Linked DNA regions of Anolis sagrei. The protein of the gene in region 1 binds, or shares a complex with, the protein of each later gene. Links are inferred from orthologs where the notes say so. Each region holds a gene or a part of one and is shown on either strand. Other genes may lie near its edges. The genes, in order: EXOSC2, EXOSC8, EXOSC9 and EXOSC6.

The links.
Region 2: EXOSC2 (region 1) and EXOSC8 share a complex: the UniProt entries of both Homo sapiens proteins name them as parts of the RNA exosome core complex. The link is inferred for Anolis sagrei from reciprocal best matches to the Homo sapiens genes EXOSC2 and EXOSC8.
Region 3: EXOSC2 (region 1) and EXOSC9 share a complex: the UniProt entries of both Homo sapiens proteins name them as parts of the RNA exosome core complex. The link is inferred for Anolis sagrei from reciprocal best matches to the Homo sapiens genes EXOSC2 and EXOSC9.
Region 4: EXOSC2 (region 1) and EXOSC6 share a complex: the UniProt entries of both Homo sapiens proteins name them as parts of the RNA exosome core complex. The link is inferred for Anolis sagrei from reciprocal best matches to the Homo sapiens genes EXOSC2 and EXOSC6.

Annotation. Positions count from the first base shown.
Region 1 is NC_090031.1:2,833,446-2,840,684, reverse strand, and holds the start of EXOSC2 (exosome complex component RRP4), read left to right. Parts: upstream 1-4,185; 5' UTR 4,186-4,216; coding exon 4,217-4,335; intron 4,336-5,529; coding exon 5,530-5,631; intron 5,632-6,649; coding exon 6,650-6,695; intron 6,696-7,239. UniProt on the Homo sapiens protein: Non-catalytic component of the RNA exosome complex which has 3'->5' exoribonuclease activity and participates in a multitude of cellular RNA processing and degradation events.
Region 2 is NC_090022.1:166,884,879-166,892,270, forward strand, and holds the start of EXOSC8 (exosome complex component RRP43), read left to right. Parts: upstream 1-4,274; 5' UTR 4,275-4,289; coding exon 4,290-4,508; intron 4,509-7,392. Other genes in the region: ALG5 (dolichyl-phosphate beta-glucosyltransferase), read right to left, coding at 4,060-4,119. UniProt on the Homo sapiens protein: Non-catalytic component of the RNA exosome complex which has 3'->5' exoribonuclease activity and participates in a multitude of cellular RNA processing and degradation events.
Region 3 is NC_090025.1:36,467,541-36,474,865, forward strand, and holds the start of EXOSC9 (exosome complex component RRP45), read left to right. Parts: upstream 1-4,283; 5' UTR 4,284-4,360; coding exon 4,361-4,426; intron 4,427-5,933; coding exon 5,934-6,028; intron 6,029-6,771; coding exon 6,772-6,891; intron 6,892-6,995; coding exon 6,996-7,098; intron 7,099-7,325. UniProt on the Homo sapiens protein: Non-catalytic component of the RNA exosome complex which has 3'->5' exoribonuclease activity and participates in a multitude of cellular RNA processing and degradation events.
Region 4 is NC_090028.1:43,418,761-43,426,530, forward strand, and holds the start of EXOSC6 (exosome complex component MTR3), read right to left. Parts: upstream 3,052-7,770; 5' UTR 2,998-3,051; coding exon 2,137-2,997; 3' UTR 2,120-2,136; intron 1-2,119. Other genes in the region: AARS1 (alanine--tRNA ligase, cytoplasmic), read right to left, coding at 7,188-7,373. UniProt on the Homo sapiens protein: Non-catalytic component of the RNA exosome complex which has 3'->5' exoribonuclease activity and participates in a multitude of cellular RNA processing and degradation events.

The DNA.
Region 1 (7,239 bases):
TTCAGAGCCATGGATTCCTATGGCTGGAAAAGAGATTCCACCGAAACATTAGGAGGAACTTTGATGGCGAGGAGAGCTGTTTCACATGAGAATCTCCTTCTTTGGAAGTTTTATATACCAAGGCGAGATGGCCATCTGTCAGGAGGGATTTAGATGTGTCTTCCTGCCTGGTAGAAAAGGGTTGGACTGGATGACCTCTGGGAGGGTCCCAATTCCCCCTTGATGATTCCATGAACCAATGTTTCTCACCCTGGGTGCTTTCCTCCTGGAGATGCCTGACTATATCTCCCATCAGTCAGGTGGGAGATTCCCATTGCACGGGAGATGTAGTGCAGGTCCTATCTCAGGCATGGGTAAACTTGGACCTTCCAGGAGTTTTGAACTACAATGCCCACCATTCCTAACAGCCTTTCCCCCTCAGCTGCTTAAGCATTATAACAATATATCTATTGGGACCTGAAGGTAGGCCTCTCCTAGATCTATCACTCTTATCATCTACCTGAAAATAGGCATCTCTTAGATCTATCACTCTATCACTACCTGAAGGTAGGCATCTCTTAGATCTATGATTCTATCATCTAGCTTAAGCAGTTGAGCGGGAAAAGGAAAGGGCCTGAGGCTGTTAGGAATGGTGGGAGTTGAAGTTCAAAACACCTGGAGGGAAGGCCAAACTTGGCCCATGCCTAATCTATCTCTTTTCATGGCACCCTTCAAAGCAAATTAAATTGAATGCAAACAGATGGAACGATAGCGACAATATCCATTCGTATCAGGATCGGATGTACAGATGCATCGCGGACAGCTTCCAGAGAATGATGGTCACTTTATATACGTATGTAATAATAATAATTAGAGTCATAATAATGACAACACTTCCTGTGTTTACAGAGCTTTGTTATTCTATGAGATTGTATTGGCAAACCGTTCTTTGTACCTCTCTTTACCCTCTTGGACTCCAAATACTGTAATTAATTAATAAATATATATATTTACCTGCAAATTATTGCCCTGGGGCTTGAGACCTGGGTTCAAATCCCTGCTCGGCCATGCAAGTTGCACTCTCTTGGCCTCAAGGGAAGGCAGTGCCCTCCTTTGTCATTGCCAAAGGAGAGGCTGTGTGGTTATCCACCTGGAGGTTTTTTGTGGTGTCTCCCTTCCTGGAAAAATTGGGGTTGACTTGGATGACCTTTACAGGGGGGGGGGGGTCATTTCTGTGGCATAATGTAAAATGAACCATGTAAAGTTCACGTTTGATCAGCCCACACACTGCCTTGCCAGAGAAAGAAAATATGCCACGCAAGTGAACAGTAAAGAACAAGTAGTTTACTGTATTGTTGAAGGCTTTCATGGCTGGGATCACTGGGTTGTTGTAGGTTTTTCAGACTATATGGCAAATGTTCTAGAAGCATTCTCTCCTGACATTTCACCTGCATCTATGGCAAGCATCCTCAGAGGTTGTAAGGTCTCACCATAGATGCAGGCGAAACGTCAGGAGAGAATGCTTCTAGAACATGGCCATATAGCCCGAAAAACCTACAACAACCGAGTAGTTTACTCTTTGTAGTTCAGAACAACATATGTACAATGTTATCAGTTGCATCAACTCACATAACGTCCTTTTATGAGAGATTTAAAGTGGTCTTACTCTGTCCATGTGGAGAAACCTTCCTTAGCAGCTCGCGAAGCAAGAGCACACTCCAAACTGTCTTCTCTCTGCTTCTCTCTTCTTCCCTCTCTGCACTTGCATAGCTCAAGCCTAAACAAAAACGTAACAGTTTCCGAAAGTCCCAGGCTCAGCCTGCTTCCCAATCAGCTTCATGCATCATATTTTACAGTTGTCACACACACACACATGAACTGATTCCTTGCATACTCCAACAGTTTCTACCTTTATGATTCCATAATAGGTTTGCTTAGATGGAAATTAAATAGAATAATTTAATTAATTAATAAAATAATTAAATAATTAATTAAATAAATAAATTTATTCAAATTAAACTAACTAAATAAATTAAATAATTATATAAATGGGAATAAATTAAATAGAATAATTTATTAAATAATTTATTTAATTAATAATTTATTTAATTTAATAATTTATTTATTTACATTAAATTAAGTAGATGTAATAAGGATGCCTTTTATTCCATTTATAAATCATTGATAAAGATATCAAAGCCCAAAAATATAAACTTGTGAAGGGTTTGGTCAGTGGAGGAATTACATTCGGTAATAACGCAATTGAAACAGCACTACCTAGCCCATCATCCCCCAGCACGAATGCAAGAAGATGGCAGAGAAATGTCGACAACATCAACTTTCATAAGGTGCACCAACACTTTCATGGGATGCATCTACACTGTGGAATTGATGCAGTTTAGCACCGCTTTCATTTGCTATGGCATCCTGGGAGTTGTTGTGTTGCAAGTAGAGAATGATGGGATGCCAAGATTGAAGCTTCCATAGGGGGAAATGAGATGGAATAATCAACTCAGTCTCCTGCAACTCCAGCAATGGACACTTGAGGGCAGCAAAGGATTGCAGTTGGAAACCAAAGGGTTATTGCAAGTCTGCTCAATGGATTAAGGCTTGCAATAAGGATTGGCCATAGAAGGTCATTATGCATATGCAAATGCGAAAAAAAATAATCAGAGAAGAGTATCCAAAATAATTACTTATATATAGCATGGTCTTTGCAATAACAAAAACAATATGTATCTATAGAAGGAAGGAGGAATTCCCAAAGAATAACGTTGCTGTGAGTTTTCCGGGCTGTCGGGCCATGTTCCAGTAGCATTCTCTCCTGACGTTTCGCTCACATCTATGGCAGAGGTGGTGAGGTCTGTTGGAAACTAGGAAGATTGGGTTTATATACCTGTAGGATGATGTTCCGGGTGGGAGAAAGAACTCTTGTCTGCTTGAGGCAAGTGTGAATGTTGCAATTGGCCACTTTGATTAGCACTGAATGGCCTTGCAGCTTCAAAGCCTGGCTTCTTCCTGCCTGGGGGGAATCCTTGGAGGTTGTGAGGTCTGTTGGGAACGAGGAATTAATCAGGGGCCCTGATTAATTCTTGTCTGGAATTCAAGGTAATACCTCCCAACAAAGGATTTCCTCCAGGCAGGAAGCAGCCAGGCCTTGAAGCTGCAAGGCCACCCAATGCTAATCAAGGTGGCCAATGGCAACATTCACACCTGCTTCCAACAGACAAGAGTTAATAATAATAATAATAATAATAATAATAATTTAAAATAGATCATCTGGATAAAAAGGAAATGTTTAAGAAAGCATGCCAATATAATGCACATGTCATATATTATTTGTAAAATAATAATTCAAATATAGAATTGCATAATAATAATAATAAGTCGCCGATTTAGGCTGAAAAATGCGGTATAAAAATAAAGCAAATAAATAAATAAATAAATAATAATAATAATAATAATAATACATTTATTATGAATAAATTTGAAATAGATAATCTGGATAAAAAGGAAATATTTTTAAAAAGCATACCAATATAATATGTATGTCATATATTATATTATATATAAAATAATAATCCAAATATAGAATTGCAAAATAATAATAATAATAATAATAATACATTTATTATGAATAAATTTGAAATAAATAATCTAGATAAAAAGGAAGTTTTTTTTAAAAGCACGCCAATATAATGTGCATGCCATATAATATATTTTATATATTTTATATTATATATTTTATGTTATGCACATGTCATATTATATATATATAATATATATATATATAATGCGCATGTCATATATTTTATTTTATATATTTTATATTATATATAAAACAATAATCCAAATATAGAATTGCATATTTAATAATAATAATAATAATAATAATGCATTTGTTGTGAATCAATTTGAAATAAATCATCTGGATAGAAAGGAAATGTATAAAAAACACTCCAATATAATATATACAAGTAATATATTACATTATATAATAAATTTTATTTTATTTACTCATTTTATTTTATTTATATAATATATTTATATATGAAATCCTCCTTGCCCAACAGTCATGAATTTGGGAGTGTGGGTCTCACTCACCATCCTAGGCGTGCAATACGGGCAGGGACCGCCAGAGGGCGCCGAAGGGAGAGCCTTCCATAGAGTCCCGAGGCCTCTCCAGGCGGGACCGGAAGTCGAAGCCTTACCGGAAGCTTGGGTGCCCTCATCCAAGATGGCGGCGGCGGTGGAAGTGCGGCTGCCGGTGGCTCGGAAGCGCCTGGCGAAAGGCGACGGGGAAAGGGACTTGGTGGCCCCCGGAGACACCATCACCACCGACCCGGGATACATGAGGTGAGGAGGAGGAGGAGGGGGACTGCAACTCCCATCACTCCCAGGAAGGGCATAATGGGAGCTTCATCATCTCAGTGTTGTGTCTGGAAGAGGGCTACAAGTGATGCTTTTGGGAACCTCTGTTGACTGAGTGATGGGAGATGTAGTTCATTGTGTTTGGGGGGCAACAGAGGGGATAATGGGAGCTTCAGCTCAGTGTCGTGTCTAGAAGAGGGCTACAAGTGATACTTTTGGGAATCTGTATTGACTGAGTGATGGGATATGTAGTCCACTGTCTTTGAGAGTCTATAGAGGAGACAATGGGAACTTCAGCTCAGTGTCGTGTTCGGAAGAGGGCTATAAGTGATACTTTTGGGAGCTTCTGCTGACTGAGTGATGGGAGCTGTAGTCCACTGTGATTGGGGGGGAGATATAATGGGAACTTCAGTTCAGTGTGGTGTCTGGGAGAGGGATATAAGTGATACTTTGGGGAACCTCTGTTGATGGAGTGATGGGAGATGTAGTCTACTGTGTTTTGGAGAGATGATGGGAACTGCAGGTCAGTGTTGTGTTGGGAAGAGGGCTATAAGTGATACTTTTGGTAACTTCTGTTAACTGAGTGATGGGAGATGTAGTCCACTGTGTTTGGGGGGCCATAGAGGGGGAAATGGGAGCTTCAGTTCAGTGTCGTGACTAGAAGAGGGCTATAAGTGATACTTTTGGGAGCTTCTGCTGACTGAGTGATGGGAGATGTAGTCCACTGTCTTTGGGAGGCTATAGAGGGGATAATGGGAACTTCAGCTCACTAAGTCAATGATGGGAGATGTAGAGGATCCGTGTTAAGGAAGGAATGTCGTCAGGTGACTGTGGGAAGGAAGGAGATCATGGGAGCTTCAGTGTATTGGATGATGGGTGATGCAGTCTGCCATATGAAGTCTGCCATTATCAAAGTGACAGAATGGCCTTTTTCCATGGGTTCAATTTAATTCATTCTCCAAAAATATTATCTCTAAATATATCTATATATATATATATACCTAAAATACATGTAAATGTATATCTATATATCTAAATATATCTAATTATATCTGTTTATACCCCTTACCTCAAACAAAGTCTGCTCAAAATATGAGCATAAGGTGTATTATTAATATTATTATATTAATGAGAACTTTAAATCGTAGCCAGTGACGTATATTCTTTTATGTCCCTAAGGGGCCACGGGACGTATTTGGGGGACGAGAAGCTGATTGCCTCGGTGGCCGGCCTGGTGGAGCGGGTGAATAAGCTGGTCTGTGTCAAAGCCCTGAAAACCAGGTGAGCTCAGCCTATTGTGGTTATTATAATGACTATATTAATATTATTGTTGCCTATATTAACTAGTATTATAATAACTACTAGTTAATATAGGCAACAATAATATTAATATAGTCATTATATTGACTATATTAATATTATTGCGAGATACCTCTACAGCTGTGTTTATTTTGTTATGTGAATTTAATACAATCACAGAATCAAAGAGTTTGAGTCTATGCTCTGCTTAAAAACACCCAGAGAAGGAGTCACAAGGGCAATCTATTCCCTTGTGATCTACTCACATTTGCATGTTTTCAAACTGCTACGTTGGCAGAAGCTGGGGCTAACAGCGGGAGCTCACCCCGCTCCCTGGATTCAAACCTGTGACCTTTCAGTTAGCAAGTTTGGCAGGTCAGGAATTTAATCCACTGTAAGGAGGGGCAGATAATGAATTATTATTATTATTGTCGAAGGCTTTCATGGCCGGAATCACTGGGTTGTTGTAGGTTTTTTCGGGCTATATGGCCATGGTCTAGAGGCATTCTCTCCTGACGTTTCACTTGCATCTATGGCAAGCATCCTCAGAGGTAGTGAGGTGAGGATGCTTGCCATAGATGCATGCAAAACGTCAGGAGAGAATGCCTCTAGACCATGGCCATATAGCCCGAAAAAACCTACAACAACCTATTATTATTATTATTATTATTATTATTACTATTCTTCTACTACTACTACTAAAGGGGTCTTACAGGCTGCAATTCTTTTGCCAGGTGAGTGAAATGCAACCCACTTTCATTAGACATCCAGGAAGTTCCAGAAAATAGATTTTTTAAAAAAATAACATCTATTTAATATGCATTGCATTCTGTCACCATACATATTAAATAAGGAATATTGGGGTGGCTGTCTCAAATATTGTGGACCTCATATCACTGTCTAAGAAAACGACAATGCTGCAAATAAGAGTGACGAGCTGCAAGGAGGCAAGGTAATAAATTTATGATGTGATGATTAATTATTTTGTTCTGTTCTTCAGGTATAACGGTGAAGTCGGAGACATTGTGGTAGGGCGCATCACTGAGGTAAACAAGCCAAACTTCTGGCTTTTGCATCTTGAATACATCCAAAGCTTTCCTTAGGTAAAAGTTTCCCCTTGACATTAAGTCAAGTCAAGTCCGATTCTGGGGGAGGTGCTCATCTCAGTTCCTAAACCAAAGAGCCAGCGTTATCCATAGACACCTCCAAGGTCATGGGGCCACTGATAGAACTGCAAGGAGCGCTTTTACCTTCCTGCCAAAGCAGTGCCTATTGATCTACTCACATTTGCATGTTTTTGAACTGCTAGGTTGGCAGAAGCTAGAGCTAACGACGGGAGTTCACCCCATCTCACGTATTCAAACTGCCAACTGTCCAGTCAGAAAGTTCTGCAGCTTAGCGGTTTAACGCATTGCACCACCGCAGCCCTTTCCTTAACGTTATCATTATTATTATTATTATTATTTTCCTTAACATTGTTATTATTATTTATATCCCACTTTCTTTCACTATAAAAGAAACACCAATTATTATTGTTATTTTCCTTAACATTATTATTATTATTATTATTATTATTATTATTATTAGCTT
Region 2 (7,392 bases), on another chromosome or scaffold:
GAGAAATATTTATTTAATTAGTCTATTGTTTATGTTTGTGCAGCAAGACACTATATTAGTAGGCCTAATGCAGTTGAAAAGTCTGAAAGTTTAAATGTTGCTTTAATCGTGACTTTAGTTTATATCCTGTTTGCTTCTCTTGACTTTTCTTTTGTATTCAAGGAAAGGATTGTTTCTTACAATGCTCCAGCAGTAGTCTGACAGCATTGACGGAGTCCATTTGCCTTGATATCTTTTCCCCATAGTGCTTTATTTACACACGTGTGAGGCATAACTACAGTAAAAAGAACAATGTAAAACGATGTTTAACGATACTGTCTCAGTCTTCAACTGACTGACCCTCACCGTTCAAAAGTCTGGCCTTAAATAGGGCTTTCTGGCTTTTGTACATGGCACTAATACTGCGTCATCAAACTTTCTAGAGTATTTTAGAATCTTCCATAGTGTAAGTCGCAACATGCATTTTTTCAAACATACATGATCACGTGATTGCTTATATCATAAAAACTAGAGCCAATATACATTTTTAAATGTCATTTTCGTTTTCAGGACCCCAAAATCATAAAAGAACAGCTATTTTCAGGCCCGCAACTTTCTAGAATCTTCCATAGTGTAAGTCGCAACATGCATTTTTTCAAACATACATGATCACGTGATTGCTTATATCATAAAAACTAGAGCCAATATACATTTTTAAATGTCATTTTTGTTTTCAGGACCCCAAAATCATAAAAGAACAGCTATTTTCAGGCCCGCAACTTTCTAGAATCGTCCATAGTGTAAGTCGCAACATGCATTTTTTTCAACCATACGTGATCACGTGATTGCTTATATCATAAAAACTAGAGCCAATATACATTTTTAAATGTCATTTTCGTTTTCAGCACCCCAAAATCATAAAAGAACAACTATTTTCAGGCCCGCAACTTTTTCTCCGTTGAACAGTGTTATTAAGTACAGTGGGCACTTTGGTTTCCAGACTCCCCTGTGGATACAAAAATCTGTAGATGCTCAAGTCCCAAGGGCCTAATACAATGGTACCCCTTATAAAAATGGCAAAATCAAGTATACCTGGCATTACCTGGGTGTTGTTAGGACTGCTCCCCACATACTGTCTCCCTTCTCCAGCTCTGAGAAGGCCTACCTCACAATGTCTCCATTTTTTTTTGTCATGTCAGAAGCGACTTAAGAAACTGCAAGTCACTTCTGGTGTGAGAGAATTGGCCATCTGAAAGGACGTTGCCCAGGGGACGCCCAGATGATTTTATGTTTTTATCATCCTTGTGGGAGGCTTCTCTCATGTCCCCGCATGAGGAGCTGAAGCTGATAGAGGGAGCTCATCTGCCTCTCCCCGGATTTGAACCTGCGACCTATCCTGCCAGCACAGTGGTTTAACCCACTGCACCACTGGGGGCTCCTACAATGTCTCCATGACAACATGGTTCTCTTATGCATGTCAACCAACAAGATCACAGAGGGCCACTTCCCCTAGCAACAGCCCCAACCAGTGGCATCACAGAGGGCCACTTTATCTAGCAACAGCCTTAATGGTAGAAACAGATAAACATGCATACTTTGCCTTTTCCATGCATGCAGAATCCATAGATATAGAGGAGTGAAAGCATACAGCAAAAAATGAAGAGGGGGGAGCATCCAACTTCTATGGAAGATTTGTTTCCCAGGATGTACCCCTCTCCAGGGGTAAGCATCATTTCTCTTCTAGGGACATTACATCTTCAACTGTAAATGCCCGAAGATACACCAGGGTGTTCAGAAACCTTTTACTGCTGCCAAATTTCTCATGACCCCAACACTGAGCAAAGGAAATTCCATTCGGGATCAGGGCCCACAGTTTAAGAAATAGTGATTTATACTGACTAGTTCAAAACCAACATAGGGGAAGTGGTATGGATGGTTTGATGGCAAGCCGTCGAACCAGGTTGAGGCCTGGATAGTGCTTATATGCAACACACAGGATGGCCTCCATCTGGTTTCAGAGCCTGCATCTTAAGAGATGCAGAGAATGTGGGTTATTTCCCTCCCAACTCCCTCTTCCACTTGAGCGGGTTGCTGGAGTGTTCCCTTGGTTCATTGCTTTTGCCATGCAGTGTGGGTTTTTTTTGTTGTCGTGTCAGGAACGACCGGAGTCGCTTCTGGTGTGAGAGAATTGGCCATCTGCAAGAACGTTGCCCAGGGGACGCCTGGATGATTTGATGTTTTATCATCCTTGTGGGAGGCTTCTCTCATGTCCCCGCATGAGGAGCTGGAGCTGATAGACGGAGCTCATCCGCCTCTCCCCGGATTCGAACCTGCAACCTGTCGGTCTTCAGTCCTGCCAGCACAGGGCTTTAATCCACTACGCCACCAGGGGCTCCAATGCAGTGTGGTTTAGCTGAAAGAGTGCCAATGGGCATTAAGGATTCTATTCTGGAGGAAGATGCCCCAACTTTGGTCATTTTACTTTAATCTTGATTATCATGGTGGGTATCATATAAGCAAGGGGACTAAGGTCTGTGGGCCAGATAAGGCCCTCCAAGGTAATTCACCCATTCCCTGCCCTAAACTTAAGACTGAGATCCGCCTTCAGTCTGAAGCGACTCGAAGGCACATGACAATCCTAATTAACTTGACTCTCTAATCAGCCAAAAGCAAATCCACACTTTCCGTTGAAATACTGGTAAGTTTGTGATGGTTAGAATTGTTTTTCGTTGTAAATATTGTCTTGTTCTTTCATGGATTTTTTTTTTGCACTACAAATAAGACACCTGCAGTGTGCACTGGAATTTGTCCATGTTTTTTCAGACTATAGTCTGAGAGACCGTAAATTGGCCCTCAGCACATAGAAGATGGCTTTGAAAGGCAGCAGATCACAGGAGCTGTCTTCATAGACTTGTCAGCAGCCTATGATACTGTGAACCACCACCTCCTCCTGAGAAAAATGCATAATATCACAAAGGACTACCACCTCACCCGCCTCATAGGAAACCTGCTACAAAACAGGAGCTTCTTTGTGGAGTTCCAGGGCCAGAGAAGCAGATGGCGGAAACTGAAGAACGGCCTGCCTCAGGGGAGCGTGCTTGCTCCATCCATGTTCAACATCTACACAAATGACCAGCCACTGTCAGAAGGGACAGAGAGTTTCATCTATGCTGATGATCGTGCCATTACCGCTCAAGCAGGGAGCTTTGAGATGGTAGAACAGAAGCTCTCCGAAGCTCTAGGTGCTCTTACTGCCTATTACAGGGAAAACCAACTGATCCCTAATCCATCTAAAACACAGACATGCGCCTTTCACCTTAAGAACAGACAAGCATCCCGAGCTCTGAGGATTACCTGGGAAGGAATCCCACTGGAGCATTGCAACACACCCAAATACCTGGGAGTCACTTTGGACCGTGCTCTGACCTACAAGAAGCACTGCCTGAACATCAAACAAAACGTGGGCGCTAGAAACAACATAATACGAAAGCAGACTGGCACAACCTGGGGATCACAACCAGACACAGTGAAGACATCTGCCCTTGCGCTATGCTACTCTGCTGCTGAGTATGCATGCCCAGTGTGGAACACATCTCACCACACTAAAACAGTAGATGTGGCTCTTAATTAGACATGCTGCATTATCACAGGGTGTCTGTGCCCCACACCACTGGAGAAATTACACTGCTTAGCCGGTATTGCACCACCTGACATCCGCCGGGAAGTAGCAGCCAATAGTGAAAGGACCAAGGCAGAGACATCTCCAGCTCATCCCCTGTTTGGGTATCAGCCAGCACGTCAACGACTTAAATCAAGACATAGTTTTCTTAGATCTACAGAGACACTCGCTGGAACACCCCAGCAAGCGAGAGTCCAAAAGTGGCAGGCCCAAACCCAGCACCTCATTTCAAAGACGACCAAGGAATAGGTTGTTCTTTCAAATGGCCTTTCCAAACCATCAGCTGTAATTATGAACCTTATTTAAAGGATAGCGTGGGGTTGTTCGCTCAGAGCCCCTAGAGACGGAGAAGGGTGCCCGAAAAGCCCACCCAGAGCCCCGCAGCAGCCTGCCACGCTCACCAGGACCAGCCCGACCCCCGCCAGCGCCGCCAGTCCTTCCACCAGCCACAGCAGCTCCATCGCTCCCCGCAAACGGCAAGAACGCCCAGCTTGCAGGAAAAGACACGGAGGCGGAAGCGGGCAGAGCCACAAGGCGGGGCAAAGGGCCGCTACAGCCTTAGCTTCCGGAGACAGGGAGCGCCGCAATTGGCGGGCCCAAGTCGTCCTCTTCTGGAGTTTTGAGGGCGGTCATGCCATGGCCTTTGAGGGCGGAAGCACGCGTTTGGGCTTCTGGGTTGGTGGAACGTGACGGAGATTTCGATCGTTACCCGTCCTTCCGCCAAAAGGAGCACTTCCGGCGCCGCGCTCGCTTCCTTCCGCTCAGACCCACCCAGGTCGGGAGCCTAGAGCGTCCTCATTGGCCCTTTGAGGAGCGCGTGAGGGAGAATGGCGGCGGCCGGTGGGTTCAGGTGAGGAGCGGCGCCCAGAGCCGTGTTGAGGACGAATGAGGCCCTGCGTTAGGGAAGTTCTGAGTCCCCTGACTTGAACTCGGGGGGAGGCCCGGTCAACGTACACTGCCTGCTTTGTGGCACACGCTCAGAGACTCCCGAAGGGTTCCTTGTTTATTGTTCAAATTGTTTCGCTGCTACAGTGTAAAAGTTCAGGGCAGAACCAATGGAAATAGACGAACCAGTCAACGAATGCTCTGCCATTAAGGTTTGATTACACTGTTGTTGTTCATTCGTGCAGTCGTCTCCGACTCTTCGTGACCTCATGGACCAGCCCACGCCAGAGCTCTCTGTCGGCCGTCACCACCCCCAGCTCCTTCAAATTCAGTCCAGTCACTTCAAGGATGCCATCCATCCATCTTGCCCTTGGTCGGCCCCTCTTCCTTTTGCCTTCCACTTTCCCCAACATAATTGTCTTCTCTACGCTTTGCTGTCTCCTCATGATGTGGCCAAAGTACTTCAACTTTGTCCCTAGTATCCTTCCTTCCAGTGAGCAGCCGGGCTTTATTTCCTGGAGGATGGACTGGTTGGATCTTCTCGCAGTCCAAGCCACTCTCAGAACTTTCCTCCAGCACCACAGTTCAAAAGCATCGATCTTCCTTCGCTCAGCCTTCCCTAAGGTCCAGCTCTCACATCCGTAGGTGACTACAGGGAATACCATGGCTTTGACTAGGCGGATCTTTGTTGCCAGTGTGATGTCTCTACTCTTTACTATTTTATCGAGACTGGACATTGCTCTCCTCCCAAGAAGTAAGCGTCTTCTGATTTTCTGGCCACAGTCTGCATCTGCAGTAATCTTTGCACCTAGAAATACAAAGTCTGTCACGGCCTCCACATTTTCTCCCTCTATTTTCCAGTTGTCAATCATTCTTGTTGCCATAATCTTGGGGTTTTTTTATGTTTAGCTGCAACCCAGCTTTTGCACTTTCTTCTTTCACCTTGATTAGAAGGCTCCTCAGGTCCTCCTCGCTTTCAGCCATCAGAGTGGTGTCATCTGCATATCTGAGGTTGTTAATATTTCTTCCAGCAATTTTCACCCCAGCTTTGCATTCATCCAGCCCTGCACATCGCATGATGTGTTCTGCATACAAGTTAAAAAGGTTGGGTGAGAGTATGCAGCCTTGCCGTACACCTTTCCCAATCTTGAACCAGTCTGTTGTTCCGTGGTCAGTTCTGACTGTTGCTACTTGGTCCTTGTACAGATTCCTCAGGAGAGAGACAAGGTGGCTTGGTATGCCCATCCCACCAAGAACTTGCCACAATTTATTATGATCCACACAGTCAAAGGCTTTAGAATAGTCAATGAAGCAGAAGTAGATGTTTTTCTGAAACTCCCTGCCTTTCTCCATTATCCAGCGGATATTGGCAATCTGGTCTCTCGTTCCTCTGCCTTTTCTAAACCCAGCTTGTACATCTGGCAACTCTCGCTCCATGTATTGCTGGAGTCTTCCTTACAGGATCTTGAGCATTACCTTACTGGCATGAGAAATAAGGGCCACTGTACGGAAGTTTGAGCAATCTTTCGCATTTCCCTTTTTTGGTATGTGGATACACTATGTAACAACATTTGAAAAAAATCTGTTCCTGGTTTGAAGGTGTTCTTTCCTGTTTAATTGTGCGCTACGTACTTTGAAAGTAGTTGTTCTACTCCAGAAACTTCGTTTTGTGGCTGCCGGAAACTATGTTGAATTGGTTGACACCTGATATTCAGTGGAAAATCTATAGCAGAATGTGCTGCAGAATGTCCTGCAAAAAGCAAGGCTTTTGCAGTTCAATAAACTTTCCCCATGTTTTAATTATAGAACGAATTAGGAAAAGCCAGGAACAAAAATTGTGTTACATAGTGCTATCAACTCTATCATTCTGTCTGGAATCTTATCGAAACGGAACACCTTCAAATTTAGAATTTCATCATGTTAGAGGCAGGCGGTGGGGAAGGGCCTCTTTCAGGCACCACTCTTGCCTCCTCGGTCTCTGTGCCGTTCCTCTCATTAAAGGCACATCTAAAAAGTTTCAGACCAGCATGGAAGAAAAGTAGTTTTACTGTGCAGACAATTTCATGGAAAATCTTGGAAATGGTTTGCGGCCCAGATGATGATCCTACAAAGCACTGATGCGCAGTTAGGGTTTCTTTTTATAGGATTTGTGGGAGTTTTTTTGTGTGGATGCCGCATTGCATTAAATGATTGGTGTAGATGGGGCCTAAGGCTGGTTCATGCTGCCTTGTTGCTGTTATTATTTATTTATTTATTCCGTGCTTTATATCCCCAAAGGGGACTCAAAGTGGCTTGATATAAAAGCCTTAGTATACAGTTTAAAATATACAAATCTATACATTTTAAAACAGAATTAAATACAAACAGCACTAAAACATTCACAGTTAAAATCCATTAAAACACATTCAAAGTTGAAAACCACAGCATCCCCTTACTAGATCTTAAACACCTTTATCTTTAAAAGTCTGTCATGGGACAGGGCCATTCTGGTTTCCTGGGAAGAAAGGGAATTCCAGAGTCAAGGGGCAGCCACTAAAAAGAAAGGCCCTCTCTCTCATTCCCACCAACCGAGCTTGAAATGGAGGTGTTACTGAGAGAAGGACCTCTCTTGAAAATCTCAGGACCTGGGCAGGTTTATACAAGTGGATGCGGTCAGCCTAAAATAGCCTGGACCTGGACCATCTAGGGCTTTAAAGTCATAACCTTTAAATTGTCATAAACTGGACCTGGAAACAGACTGGTAGCCAGTGGGGCTGCTGCAACAGGAGGGTTGCCCTCTCCCCAGTTAGCAACGTGGCTGCAACTCTTTGGACCAGCTGAAGCAGTCTTCAGAAGCAGCCCCGTGTAGA
Region 3 (7,325 bases), on another chromosome or scaffold:
AACATTAACAACCTTAGATATGCAGATGATACTACTTTGATGGTCAAAAGCGAGGAGGAGATGAGGAACTTTCTAACTAAGGTGAGAGAAGGAAGTGCAAAAGCTGGGTTGCTGTTAAACATACCCCCCCCCCCCCCCCCAAGATTCTGGCAACCGGACTGATTGATAACTGGCAAATAGAGGGAGAAAACATGGAGGCAGTGACAAACTTTGTATTTCTAGGTGCAAATCAGAAGATGTTTACTTCTTGGGAGGAGAGCAATGACCAATCTCAATAAAATAGCGAAGAGTAAAGACATCACACTGGCAACGAAGATCTGCATAATTAAAGCAATGGTATTCCCCGTAGTAATCGACGAATGTGAGAGCTGGACCATAAGGATGGCTGAGGGAAGGAAGATAGATGCTTTTTAACTGTGGTGTTGGAGGAAAATTCTGAGAATGCCTTGGACCACAAGAAGATCAAACTAGTCCATATTTCAGGAAATAAAGCCTGACTGCTCATTGGAGGGAAGGATATTAGAAGCAAAGAAGTACTTTGGCCACATCATGAGAAGACAGGAAAGCTTAGAGAAGACAATGATGCTGGGGGGAAAGGAAGGAAAAAGGAAGAGGGGCTGACCAAGGGCAAGATGGATGGATGGTATCCTTGAAGTGACTGGCTTGACTCTGAAGGAGCTGGGGGTGGTGACGGCCGACAGGGAGCTCTGGCGTGGACTAGTCCATGAGGTCATGACGAGTTGGAAGCGACTGAACAAATAAACAACAACAAACATGGGAGTTAAAATGTTTAAAACAAAGCCATTATTTTGATTACTAGGTGTTCAAAAACATGTTGTTCTTTGTACAGAAATAAATCAATTATGGACATCTCACTACAAGATCAAAGGGCCCTTCCACACAGCCATAAATCCCAGTCATCAAGGCAGAAAATCCCACAGTATCTGCTTTGAACTGGGTTATCCGAGTCCACATGGCCATAAATTCCAGGTCAAAGCAGAAAATGTGGGATTTTATTCAGCTGTGTGGAAAGGGCCCACAACTCATTTAGGTGGCTGTTTCTTAATTGTCGTGAATTTCAACTTCCTTTATTGGTATTTTGGAAACTTGGCAACACTAAAATAGGCAACCCTATAAATGTTTTTGGACTGGGTTGCTGTAAGTTTTTCAGGTTGTATGGCCATGTTCCAGAAGCATTCTTTCCTGACATGTCGCCTGCATCTATGGCAAGCATTCTCAGAGATTGTGAGGTCTGCTCCTTCCTCAGTCTTTGCCAGCCAAACCAATGGGGAGGGATGATGGGAGCTGCAGCCTAAGAATATTTAGGTCACACTCTGATTTTGTCTATGGGATCTCTCTCAAGTAACACTGCCGAAAGACTATGTAGCTGTGCAGCTATGTATATATTAAATAAACAAGCGAGAAGAGTCAGCTTCATCCTTTCCATTCATAAGGTATATACAGTGAGTGATTATTGTGCAAAATGTAGCCTCTGAGATTTAGAGAGCAGACAGAAATTCATTAACATGTCAATCAGAGTTAAAGCACAATCCGTTTACGACTAAACACCGTGAGATGTTCTCTCTCTGATTTCCAAAGGGAACGGGATGCAATCATAGATGAATAGTAAACTTGGTGAGAAAGGCAACTCAACATCCTTGGATTACCATATTAAATAAATGTTTAAATGCCTCAAAAAGTGGACTTTGATGGGTTTAGTGCAGGCTTTTCAGAAAATGCAAACAGATTTGCCAAATGCAGCCCTAGAAGCTATTTGAATGATACAGACTTTTCTGAGAATGAAATAGTAAGGACTATTTAGAATCTTTTTTTTTTTGCCCCACCTTTTAATTTTATATCATATTTGCAAGTTACCTCCTTGCATTACAGTAATAAAAAGGACCACGCCTGCAGGGCCTCAGGCCTAAGCAAGAAGTGAAGGTACCATCACCAGGGGCTTTGAGGGAAGGGGCAGTGTTTGTTTCCCTTGCTGCCTTTGGCTCAGCTTCTCACTCAGCCTCTGGGGACCATTTGGTCCTACTGGACTCTGTCTTGACTGGCTTGCATTTCAGCATCCATGGGTCTGCACAGAGATACCGACATTTGTTTCTTCTAGCTGTAGCCCTTGATTCAGCTGGACCCCCTCTCAAGTGAACACTGCCACCCCGGTTTGGAGTCTCATTCCTCCCCTGATGGAACACCTGCTCCATTAAAACCATGTTTTAATCTGTCTTATTGCATTTATATGTTTTGTTTTATAATTTAATATGTTATATTTATTATTTGTTGTATAATGTGGCATTGAATTTTGCCATAATCTGTAAGCCGCTCCGAGTCCCCTTTGGGGCTGAGAAGAGCAGGGTATAAATATAGTAAATAAACAAGAAATGGACAGAAAAGGCAGTTCAATACATAGTAGCATTAGGTCGTAATTAATGTATTTACAAATTTAGCACCAGAACATTGCAATGTATTGAAGCAGCAGTGGATCCTGGCGGGAGGCAGACTGCGTTGTATAATACAGAACACTGGATGAGTGAAGGTTGGATAAGTGAGACTCTGTTGTATTATATTCTTAGCATTGCACAATATAAGTATTCAATATTACTATATTGTACTATACCACTATACTGCAATATTATTAGTAGCTTTACATGTAATATATCATTATTATATTATTATATTTACAATATTAGTATATCACAATATATTTAACACACTACCAGAATATTATACTACTAGTAGTATATAATATACAGGGTTAGTCAAAATGAATAGGCCAATAAGAAAATTAATTGTATGTATGTTTGGCCTATTCATTTTGACTAACCCTGTATTGTACTATATGATAAGTTGTAATAATAATAATAAACCTTTATTTATACCTGGCTAACATCTCCCGAAGGACTTGGTGCGGCTTACAAGAGGCCGAGGCCCAACACATTAATAAAACAACAGCATAACAAATACAACAATAAATAAACTCATAAAACAAGCAATAAACATTAAAACAATAGCAATAAACATTAGACAATAACACCATGACGCATTTAAAACTAAGGCCGGGCCAAATGTAATGATTAAAAATTTTAAAAAATGTTGGACATGGCAGGTGAAATGAATAGGTTTTTGGAGATTGGTGCGGTGTGCAGACTATCTTAAATGTCTAGTAAAGTGCATTTGGGACATTAGCTGTCCCCTGCCATGTGTTGCTGTGGCCCAGTCTGTCTGTATATGCTTTGTGTGTATATATATGTATATACACACATATATATATGTGTGTGTTTGCGTATATATATGTGGTTTTGCCCCCGGTGGCACAGTGGGTTAAAGCACTGAGCTGCTGAGCTTGTTGACTAAAAGGTTGCAGGTTCGATTCCGGGGAGCGGCGCGAGCTTCTGCTGTCAGCCCTAACTTCTGCCAACCTAGCAATTTGAAAACATGCAAATGTGAGTAGATCAATAGGTACCGCTCCGGCGGGAAGGTAACGGCGTTCGATGCAGTTGTGCCGGCCACATGACCTTGGAGGTGTCTATGGACAACGCTAGCTCTTCGGCTTAGAAATAGAGATGAGCACCACACCCCAGAGTCAGACATGACTGAGCTTAATGTCAGGAGAAAACTTTTACCTTTACCTATCTAATGTCAGGGGACAACCTTTACCTTAACCTATGTAGTTTTGCACATGCGTTGTAATGTTTTTCGGATGGTTTTTTTAGCTTTTTAAGTCCCTTCTGCTGTGTTTTTTATGAGTGATGGACACTTGTTGAACTGATAGGTGTATTGTGTCCAGATTTGGTGTCAATTTGTCCAGTGGTTTTTGAGTTACGTTAATCCTACAAACAAACATTACATAATATAATCAAACACATAGAAGCATAAAATTAGAAAGGATACAACAGGCCTGGGCAAACTTGGGCCTTCCAGGTGTTTTGGACTTCAATTCCCACCATTCCTAACAGCCTCAGGCCCCTTCCTGAGGCCAAGTTTGCACAGGCCTGGGGTGCAATATAGCAGCAGCAACACAAAGATGGCCTGTTCATTACATGTAGCAGTAATAAGTTTCAGTTTAGTAGTAATGATTGGCACCAAGCAATAGTTGACAGTGACAGTGATGCCAAAGTCTCTCTCCCTTGAATTCCAAGTTCACCAAAGATAGAACATAGGCAAGAATAGGAGAGATCCTTCCTCCTCCCCCTCCCCTCCCCGATGACGTAACGTTCCTTCCTATTGGCCGAGGAAGCTATGCTTTGGAAGCGACGCTTTTAAAGTGCGCCCGCTCTATGACGTCATCAGAGCGGAACCCGGAAAAGAGCAGCGCGGCCTCAAATCAAGGCGGCAGTAACACTCCGGCCTTGCGATGAAGGAAACGCCGTTGTCCAACTGCGAGAAGCGCTTCCTGCTGAAAGCCATCGAGGAGCGGAAGGTGCGTTAGCGAGAGAGAGAAGAAGAGATTGTAGTCATGGGTCTGATGGATCTGCACTGTAGAGTTAATGCGGTTTCATGCCACTTTGGCTCAATCCCGGGAGTTGTAGTTTGGTGAGACGACAGCACAATTGAGCAGACGAGGCTAAAGGGCTTGTAAAACGACGGCTCTCCGGATTAATGGCCTCAAACTGTGTTAATTCTGCAGTGTAGATGCATCTCCAGCCACATATTAGGAAACTGAAATGTCGAAGCAAGGTTTGAGGACAAAAGAGATCAACCTGATTCTGTACTTTTCAGGAGTCAGTATTAAAATCCACTCTCCAGCCCTGAATGCTAGAAGTCATTCCAGGGGAATTCCAGACAATAAACAATCAGGGCCGGCTAATCAACCTCCCAACAAAGGATTCCCCCCAGGCAGGAAGCAGCCAAGCCTTGAAGCTGCAAGGCTATTCAGTGCTAAGCAAGGTGATCAATTGCAGCATTCATACTTGCCTCAAACAGACAAGAGTTCTTTCTCCCGCCCTGGACATTCCACAGAGATATAAACTCTGGTTTTCAACAGACCCCTCAACCTCTGAGGATGTCTGCCATAGTTGTGGGTGAAATGTCAGGAGAGAATGCTTCTTGAACATGGGCATACAGCTTCCCTGACAACCAATTAATTTTGAACTCTGCATTTCAAGTTTGCATTCTATTGATATATTTAATTGTTATATTAATGTATTTTGGTAAATGTGTTTTGGCTGTTTTATACCCCCACCTTGAGTTGTGAGGAGAGATGGGCAACAAATGAATTATTATTATTATTATTATTATTGTTAACTTCACTGATGCGACACTCTGGTCTTCTTTATACTAAATATTATAGAATTTTGATACCTCTTTAGCTGCCATGGTGCCTTCCTGTGGAATCTTTCGGTTTGCATTTAGGGAAGGGTTCTTTGAATTCTCTGCTAGAGAGCTTTATTTACTTATTTATTTATTTACAGTATTTGTATACTGTTTTTCTTACCCCAAGGGGGACTCAAAGTGGTTTACTGTACCAAAGTACCCAAATTCTGTAGGATCCGTTTTTGGAAGTTAAAGTAGTATCAAAGTACACTAACTGTGTAGTGTGAAAGACACCCAGTGTGTCAGATTCATCTATAATCTTCTTTCCTGCTTTGTAGGATTTCAGTGTTATTAATTGCTGCTCTAGAGGGGAAAGTCAGCCCCTGAAGATGAGTTATGGAAATGCCGAAATAAGGAAAATAATTACCTCTGTACCATATAAGTGGATTTAGGCATGCAAACTCTTCACAGTTGGCAAACCTAGAGTTCAGGACTGTAAGAGTGGGTTTCACTGTGTACATATAATTTAGTGTTTTGAATGTGATTTTCCTGCTTCTTGGCCAGGGGTTGGACTGGATAGCCCATGAATTCTCATTCAATGCTATGATTCTAGTTGACTTTTTCCACAGTCCCATATTTCACATCTGTAATTTTAGCTTGTTTTGTCTTTACAGCGTCTTGATGGACGAGAGTGCTATGACTACAGAAATCTTCGCATCTCCTTTGGCTCTGACTATGGCTGCTGTATTGTGGAGCTTGGAAAAACGAGGTACCTCAGAATAGGGGATATGGCCATCACTTATTGATTGCTCCTACCTTGTTGCACATGTGGCTATCTGCCTTCAGTTGATGCCTTCGTTTGTCCTTAACTGAGACAAATGACCAAGTTACTGTCTTGATAACTACAATGTGGAAATGAAAAGTGTACATGAAAGGATTATGTGCAAAGGACCATAACTTACTAAGAGCACAAAATTTGCATGATGAAGTTTTCAGCATTTTTAGGTAACAAAACCTCTGCCTGGAACCTGGAGAATGCAGACAACACTGACGGACTTAGAACATCTGACTCAGGCCCCTTCCATATAGCTGAATAAAATCCCACATTGTCGAATATATGGCAGTGTGGTCTCAGATAATCCAGCTCAAAGCAGATATTGTGGGATTTTCTACCTTGATATTTTGGGTTATATGGCTGTGTAGAAGGGCCCTGTATTTATACTCCACCTTTCTTCCAGAGTAAGATCCAAAACAGCTTCCAAAAACAGTGTTAAAACACGTATCACAAAATGGTAAACATTCAGTGTTCCACATCTGCATTTTCTATTACTATACAGGGAATCATATGCATAATATCATTGTATGTCTTCTGGCAATTAATTGTATCAAGTTAATGTCAACTCTGAATAAGACAATGTGAATTTTAGAACGCCTTGTTATTTTAAACATGTAAGCAATCAGTTGAAATTTTACTCTTAAAGTTCGCCTATGTGGTGGCTTTTCTCTTTGTAGGATTCTTGGACAAGTGTCCTGTGAGCTTGTCACCCCAAAGCCAAATCGTGCGACGGAGGGCATACTTTTCTTTAATCTTGAACTCTCTCCTATGGCATCACCTGCATTTGAGCCTGGAAGGTATGTGACCCTACTTCTCCCTAGTAATAACATTCAGTGCTTCCTCAAGAAATGTTTTGTCTTTCTTAATTATTTGTAACTAAAGGTTTATTTTTTAATTCTAGACAGCCTGAGTTACTTGTAAAACTGAATCGACTGTTAGAAAGATGCCTAAGGAATTCGAAGTGTATAGATACTGAATCTCTCTGTGTTGTTGCTGGTGAAAAGGTGTGTAGTAGCATTAATTATAAAAATATATTTTAATAACTCTAAAAATTAAGTTATTTGACTTAACCATATTGCTTGTTTCCATTTGAATCCATGTGGAATTCGGAGACATATCTATCATCCCCTTTGATTAAATGGGTCTCTTTTTTCTTCCATCTTTGTATTTTTTATCGATAAAATAAAGATGGTTGAAAATAGAATAAAATTATAAAACATTATTTAAACCA
Region 4 (7,770 bases), on another chromosome or scaffold:
GTTGGGGATGGTGGGAGTTGGAGTCCAAAACACCTGGAAGGAAGGCCTAAGTTTACCCAAACCTGATGTAGAGGCAGAATGGGCCTGAGGCTGTTGGGGATGGTGGGAGTTGGAGTCCAAAACACCCAGAGGGAGGGCCAGAGTTGGCCTAAACCTGATCTAGAGGCAGAATGGGCCTGAGGCTGTTGGGGATGGTGGGAGTTGGAGTCCAAAACACCCAGAGGGAGGGCCAGAGTTGGCCTAAACCTGATGTAGAGGCAGAATGGGCCTGAGGCTGTTGGGGATGGTGGGAGTTGGAGTCCAAAACACCCAGAGGGAGGGCCAGAGTTGGCCTAAACCTGATGTAGAGGCAGAATGGGCCTGAGGCTGTTGGGGATGGTGGGAGTTGGAGTCCAAAACACCCAGAGGGAGGGCCAGAGTTGGCCTAAACCTGATGTAGAGGCAGAATGGGCCTGAGGCTGTTGGGGATGGTGGGAGTTGGAGTCCAAAACACCTGGAAGGAAGGCCTAAGTTTACCCAAATCTGATCTAGAGGCAGAATGGGCCTGAGGCTGTTGGGGATGGTGGGAGTTGGAGTCCAAAACACCCAGAGGGAGGGCCAGAGTTGGCCTAAACCTGATCTAGAGGCAGAATGGGCCTGAGGCTGTTGGGGATGGTGGGAGTTGGAGTCCAAAACACCCAGAGGGAGGGCCAGAGTTGGCCTAAACCTGATCTAGAGGCAGAATGGGCCTGAGGCTGTTGGGGATGGTGGGAGTTGGAGTCCAAAACACCTGGAAGGAAGGCCTAAGTTTACCCAAACCTGATGTAGAGGCAGAATGGGCCTGAGGCTGTTGGGGATGGTGGGAGTTGGAGTCCAAAACACCCAGAGGGAGGGCCAGAGTTGGCCTAAACCTGATCTAGAGGCAGAATGGGCCTGAGGCTGTTGGGGATGGTGGGAGTTGGAGTCCAAAACACCCAGAGGGAGGGCCAGAGTTGGCCTAAACCTGATGTAGAGGCAGAATGGGCCTGAGGCTGTTGGGGATGGTGGGAGTTGGAGTCCAAAACACCCAGAGGGAGGGCCAGAGTTGGCCTAAACCTGATGTAGAGGCAGAATGGGCCTGAGGCTGTTGGGGATGGTGGGAGTTGGAGTCCAAAACACCCAGAGGGAGGGCCAGAGTTGGCCTAAACCTGATGTAGAGGCAGAATGGGCCTGAGGCTGTTGGGGATGGTGGGAGTTGGAGTCCAAAACACCCAGAGGGAGGGCCAGAGTTGGCCTAAACCTGATGTAGAGGCAGAATGGGCCTGAGGCTGTTGGGGATGGTGGGAGTTGGAGTCCAAAACACCTGGAAGGAAGGCCTAAGTTTACCCAAATCTGATCTAGAGGCAGAATGGGCCTGAGGCTGTTGAGGATGGTGGGAGTTGGAGTCCAAAACACCCAGAGGGAGGGCCAGAGTTGGCCTAAACCTGATCTAGAGGCAGAATGGGCCTGAGGCTGTTGGGGATGGTGGGAGTTGGAGTCCAAAACACCCAGAGGGAGGGCCAGAGTTGGCCTAAACCTGATCTAGAGGCAGAATGGGCCTGAGGCTGTTGGGGATGGTGGGAGTTGGAGTCCAAAACACCCAGAGGGAGGGCCAGAGTTGGCCTAAACCTGATGTAGAGGCAGAATGGGCCTGAGGCTGTTGGGGATGGTGGGAGTTGGAGTCCAAAACACCCAGAGGGAGGGCCAGAGTTGGCCTAAACCTGATCTAGAGGCAGAATGGGCCTGAGGCTGTTGGGGATGGTGGGAGTTGGAGTCCAAAACACCCAGAGGGAGGGCCAGAGTTGGCCTAAACCTGATCTAGAGGCAGAATGGGCCTGAGGCTGTTGGGGATGGTGGGAGTTGGAGTCCAAAACACCCAGAGGGAGGGCCAGAGTTGGCCTAAACCTGATCTAGAGGCAGAATGGGCCTGAGGCTGTTAGGGATGGTGGGAGTTGGAGTCCAAAACACCTGGAAGGAAGGCCAAAGTTTACCCAAACCTGATGTAGAGGCAGAATGCTGGCAGTTGGATGCCAGAGTATCTCAGGCCCCTTCCCCGCAGTCCCTAGTCCCAGATTATATATTAATTCCAGACTAAGTGGGCAGGGCCTGAGGCTGTCCATACCTGAGTGGGGCTGGGTCTCATGTGATGGGGTGGGGCGCCCCTTCCTCTTCCTCTGGGGTCTTGTGGGGGGGCGGGGGGTCCCCCTTGGGCGTGAGGGCGCGGAGGAGGCTCTTCCTGAGGAGCGGGTAGAGGCGGTGGCATCCGTCGAGTCCGAGGCGCAGGGCCCGTGCCCAGCTGTCCGGGGGGCCGCCTTCCCCGCTGCCCAGGAGGCCGGCCACTTGGTTGAGGGAGGGCAGGAGGGCCACGGTGAGGTGGGCGCGGGCGCGGCGGGTCTCGGCCTCGTCGGGCTGGAGCAGCCACTCTCCCCCTGCTGTTCCGGGGGCGAGGGCGAGGGCGCAGGCGGCGGGCAGGTCGAAGAGCTCGACGCCGGCGTGGGCCAGGGCGAGCCCGGAGGCGCAGAGGGCGGCGGCCAGCACGGAGCCCCCGTCCTGCAGCACCAGCGCGCTGACCTCCAGCTGGGCGCGCGGGTAGCGGGAGAGGCGGGCGGCGGCCGAGAGGGACTCCGTCAGCGCCTGCGCCAGGCACGGGTCGCGCTCCGATGACCACCGACGACGGGGCCCGCGGGAAGAGAAGGGCGCGCGCCGGAACTCGCACACCAGCCGGCCCCCCGACTCGCTCCCCGCTCCTCCTCCTCCTGCGGGGGCCTCTCGGGGCCCGTACACGCCGCACAGCACCTTCGTCCCGCCAGACAGCTCCACGAAGGCCGAGCCCTTGGCCTGGCTCAGCACCGCCGCCCGCGCGAACACCGCCTGCAGCGCGGAAGGGTCCCGCCCCGGCTTTTCAGGCTTCTTCTCCGCCTCCTCCGCCCCCTCGGCCACGAAGAGCAGCGAGGACTGAGACTCCTCCGGGCCCGGCACGCGGCGGTGGTCCAGCGGCATGGCAACACTCCCCTCACCGTCGCAGCCTCACAACAGGAAGCGGAAGGAGAAGCGGCGCCCACTGCGCCTGCGTAATCGCTCCCTCTCTCTCTCTGTCTCGCGCCCCCTGCTGGCCTGGAGGAGGAGGAGCAGGCTGCTCAAAGGACCACTCTCCTCTGAGCGCGCTCTCTCTCTCTCTCGCCCCCTGCTGGCCTGGAGGAGGAGAAGCAGGCTGTTCCTCTATTGATCTCTGCTCAGAAGAAACCCATTCTCACAAGGGGAAGCGGAAGAGGAAGCGGCGCCCACTGCGCCCTCTCTCTCTCTCTCGCCCCCTGCTGGCCTGGAGGAGAAGGAGCAGGCTGCTCAGAGGAGCACTCTCTCCTCTGAGCGCTCTCTCTCTATCTCGCGCCCCCTGCTGGCCTGGAGGAGAAGAAGCAGGCTGCTCCTCTTTATTGATCTCTGGTCAGAAGAAGCTCATTCTCACAAGGGGAAGCGGAACAGGAAGCGGCGCACACTGCTCCTGCGCCCTCTCTCTCTCTCTCTCGCCCCCTGCTGGCCAGGAGGAGGAGGAGCAGGCTGCTCAGAGGAGCACTCTCTCTCCTCTGAGCGCTCTCTCGGGGAAGCGGAAGAGGAAGCGGCTCCCACTGCGCCTGCGCCCAGGCTCCCTCTCTCTCTGTCTCGCGCCCCCTGCTGGCCTGGAGGAGGAGGAGCAGGCTGTTCCTCTTTATTGATCTCTGGTCAGAAGAAACCCATTCTCACAAGGGGAAGCGGAAAAGGAAGCTGCGCCTGCGCCCTCGCTCCCTCTCTCTCTCGCGCCCCCTGCTGGCCTGGAGGAGGAGCACGCTACTCAGAGGAGCACTCTCTCCTCTGAGCGCTCTCTCTCTCTTGCCCCCTGCTGGCCTGGAGGAGGAGGAGCAGGCTGCTCCTCTTTATTGATCTCTTGTCAGAAGAAACCCATTGAGCAAGCATGGGCAAACTTGGACTCCAGGTGTTTTGGACTTCAACTCCCACAATTCCTAACAGCCGGTAGGCTGTTAGGAATTGTGGGAGTTGAAGTCCAAAACACCTGGAGGGCCCAAGTTTGCCCACACCTGCCATTGAGAATAGACATACAATTCATAGAATCCTAGAATTGGAAGAGACCTCCTGGGCCATCATCATCCAGTCCAACCCCATTCTGCCAAGAAGCAGGAAAAATGCATTTAAGCACCCCCGACAGATGGCCATCCAGCCTCTGTTTAAAAGCTTCCAAGGAAGGAGCCTCCACCACACTCCGGGGCAGTGAGTTCCACTGCTGAACGGCTCTCACAGTCAGAAAGTTCTTCCTCATGTTCAGATGGAATCTCCTCTCTTGGAGTTTGAAGCCATTGTTTCGTGTCCTAGTCTCCAGGGAAGCAGAAAACAAGCTTGCTCCCTCCTCCTCCCTGTGGCTTCCTTATACATGGCTATCATATCCCCTCTCAGCCTTCTCTTCTTCAGGCTAAACATGCCCAGTTCCCTAAGCCGCTCCTCATAGGGCTTGTTCTCCAGACCCTTGATCATTTTAGTCGCCCTCCTCTGGACACATTCCAGCTTGTCAATATCTCTCTTGAATTGTGGTGCCCAGAATTGGACACAATATTCCAGGTAAAGTGGTCTAACCAAAGCGGAATAGAGCATGGGGAGCATGACTTCCCTGGATCTAGACACTAGGAGAGAGAGTGAGTTCAAGGAGTGGCAGCAACCAATAGTGAAATGACCAAGGCAGTGACATCTCCAGCTCACCCCGTTTGAGTATCAGCCAGCATGCCAACGACTTAAAGCAAGAAATAGTTTTCTAATATCTATAGAGACACTCGCTGGAACACCTCAGCAAACGAGACCCCAAAAGTGGCAGGCTCAAACCCTGATAGTTTAAGAGGCCCTGCTCTCGGTCCCACCAACGTCACAAACAAAGCTGGTGGGGACGAGGGACAGAGCCTTATCAGTAGTGGCCCCCGCCTGTGGAATTCACTCCCCAGCAAAATTAGATCACTGAAGACATCTGCCTTGCGCTGTGCTCCTCTGCTGCTGAGTATGCATGTCCAGTGTGGAACACATCTCACCATACTAAAACAGTGGATGTGGCTCTTAATGAGACATGTCACATTATCATGGGGTATCTGCGCCCCTCACCACTGGAGAAATTACACTGCTTAGCCGGTATTGCACCACCTGACATCCGCCGGGAAGTGGCAGCCAATAGTGAAAGGACCAAGGAAGTGACATCTCCAGCTCATCCCCTGTTTGGGTATCAGCCAGCACGTCAACGCCTTAAATTACGAAATAGTTTTCTAAGATCTACAGAGACACTCGCTGGAACACCTCAGCAAGCGAGAGTCCAAAAGTGGCAGGCTCAAACCCAGAACCTCAACCAATGGCTGATACCCAATGAGAGACTCCCCCTGGGCACATTTGGCCCAGCCATAGTTTTTAAAGTGTGTTGTCCTATTTGATAATGCTTATGTTATTGTTTTGCTGTTTTAAACTGCTTGTATTGTTGTTGTTATTGCTTGTATTGTTGTATTTTGGGCTCGGCCTCATGTAAGCCGCACCGAGTCCCCTGGGGAGATGGTAGCGGGGTATAAATAAAGTGTTATTATTATTATATGTTCTAGAGCAGTGGTTCTCAACCTTCCTAATGCCGCGACCCCTTAATACAGGTCCTCATGTTCTGGTGACCCCCAACCATAATATTTTCGTTGCTACTTCACAACTGTAATTTTGCTACTGTTATGAATGGTAATCTAAATATCTGATATGCAGGATGTATTTTCAGTCACTGAACCAAATTTGGCACAAATACCTGATATCCCCAAATTTGAATATTGGTGGGGTTGGGGGGTGATTGATTTTGTCATTTGGTAATGGTGGAGTTGCTGGGATTTATAGTTCACCTAAAATCAAAGAGCCTTCTGAACTCCACCAGTGATGGAATTGAATCAAACTGGGCACACAGAATTCCCATGACCAAGAGAAAATACTGGGAAGGTCTGGTGGACATTGACCTTGAGTTTTTTGGAGTTGTAGTTCACCTACATCCGGAGAACACTGTGGACTCAAGCAATGATGGATCTGGATCAAACTTGGCACAAATACTCAATATGCCCAAATGTGAATACTGCTGGAGTTTGGAGAAAATAGGAGTTGTAATTGTTGTGATTTATAGTTCACCCGCAATAAAATAGCATTCTGAACCCCACCAATAGAATTGGACCAAACTTTCCACAGAACCCCCATGACCAACAGAAAATACTATGTTTTCTCATGGTCTTTGGCGACCCCTCATGACCCCCATGGGGGTCCCGACCCCCAGGTTGAGAAACACTGTTCTAGAGGCATTCTCTCCTGATGTTTCGCCTGCATCTATGGCAAGCATCCTCAGAGGTTGTGAGAAGCCATTCTTAAGCACAACGTGCCATTGTTGACACATCAAGTTGCAATTAAAAATAGCAACACATGCAAACTACTCTTCTTGGCTGTGCAGAAAGGAAAGGAAATGACTGTGGCTGGGGCAAACTTTTGTTGAGAAGGCTTTCATGGCCGGAATCACTGGGTTGTTGTAGGTTTTTGTGGGTTGTAGGCTTGAGCATATCACACTGCAGCATGGTTATATGTAATGTGCCCATGTGCCCATTGCTTTTGTTTCTACAGCAAGACACTCACTTAAATAGACATCTGTTTATTCAGCATGGAACCTGGTGAAGCACAGCTCCTCGTGCCAGAACACGCCTGGCTTGGGCTTGGCTACAACAGAGGTTAATACTATGAATGAAGGAGGGGCTTTCACAGTTACAGAGATAAGGGATGAAATGACCGAAGTGTTGAGCCTTGGCCCCGCGCATGCAAAACGCCCCAAGCGCTTGAGCACGGACAGAGAATTCGTGGGCCATGTCTTATTGCAAACTGTACAAAGACATTCAAGTTTAGAGCGTCAGGAAGTATGTGACTTGTATGTGCAAGGAGATTTTTACCACATTTCGATTCGAACTTGTGCCGCCACAGGCTCCCACGTTCTGTGCTCAGGGCATTTCCTGGCACGGCCGCCTGGCTTGGTTAGTGCCTGAGCGGATGAGCTGAGAAGGACAACAATGCACGTAACGTTGTTTCCAGTTATCACTAAGCTGTTAACCTACTGGCGGAGCAGACAAGGGCTTCCTTGCCTGGATCTCTTCCCTGAAGGGGGGGGGGGGTCAGTTCTTCAGCTCGCCCAGTTTCAGCTTGGCAAAGTCCGTGGCCACCTCCAGGACCTCCTTCAGGCAGTCAGTGTTCTTCCCGGTCGCCTGAGCCGAGAGGTCCTTCCCGCCCCCCTTGCCATCCATCAGGACCGACACCTGCTGCACCCATTCGCTAGCTTTCAGGCCTTTGTTGACAACGTCCTGCGAAAGACAGGAAAACAGCAAGTTAGATGGGTTGCTGTAGGTTTTTTTCGGGCTATATGGCCATGTTCTAGAGGCATTTTCTCCTGACATTTCGCCTGCATCTATGGCAAGCATCCTCAGAGGTAGTGAGGTCTGTTGGAACGAGGCAAAAGGGTTTATATATCTGTGGAATGACCAGGGTGGGACAAAGGACTCTTGTCTGCTGGAGCTAGGTGTGAATGTTTCAACTGACCACCTTGATTAGCATTTGATGGTCTGACCGTGCCTGGTGCAACCTTTTATTGAGGTGATTAGCTGTCCTTGTTTGTTTAGTGAGGTCGGTTGGAACTAGGAAAATGGGTTTATATATCTGTGGAAAAACCAGGGTGGGACAAAGGTCTCTTGTCTGCTGGAG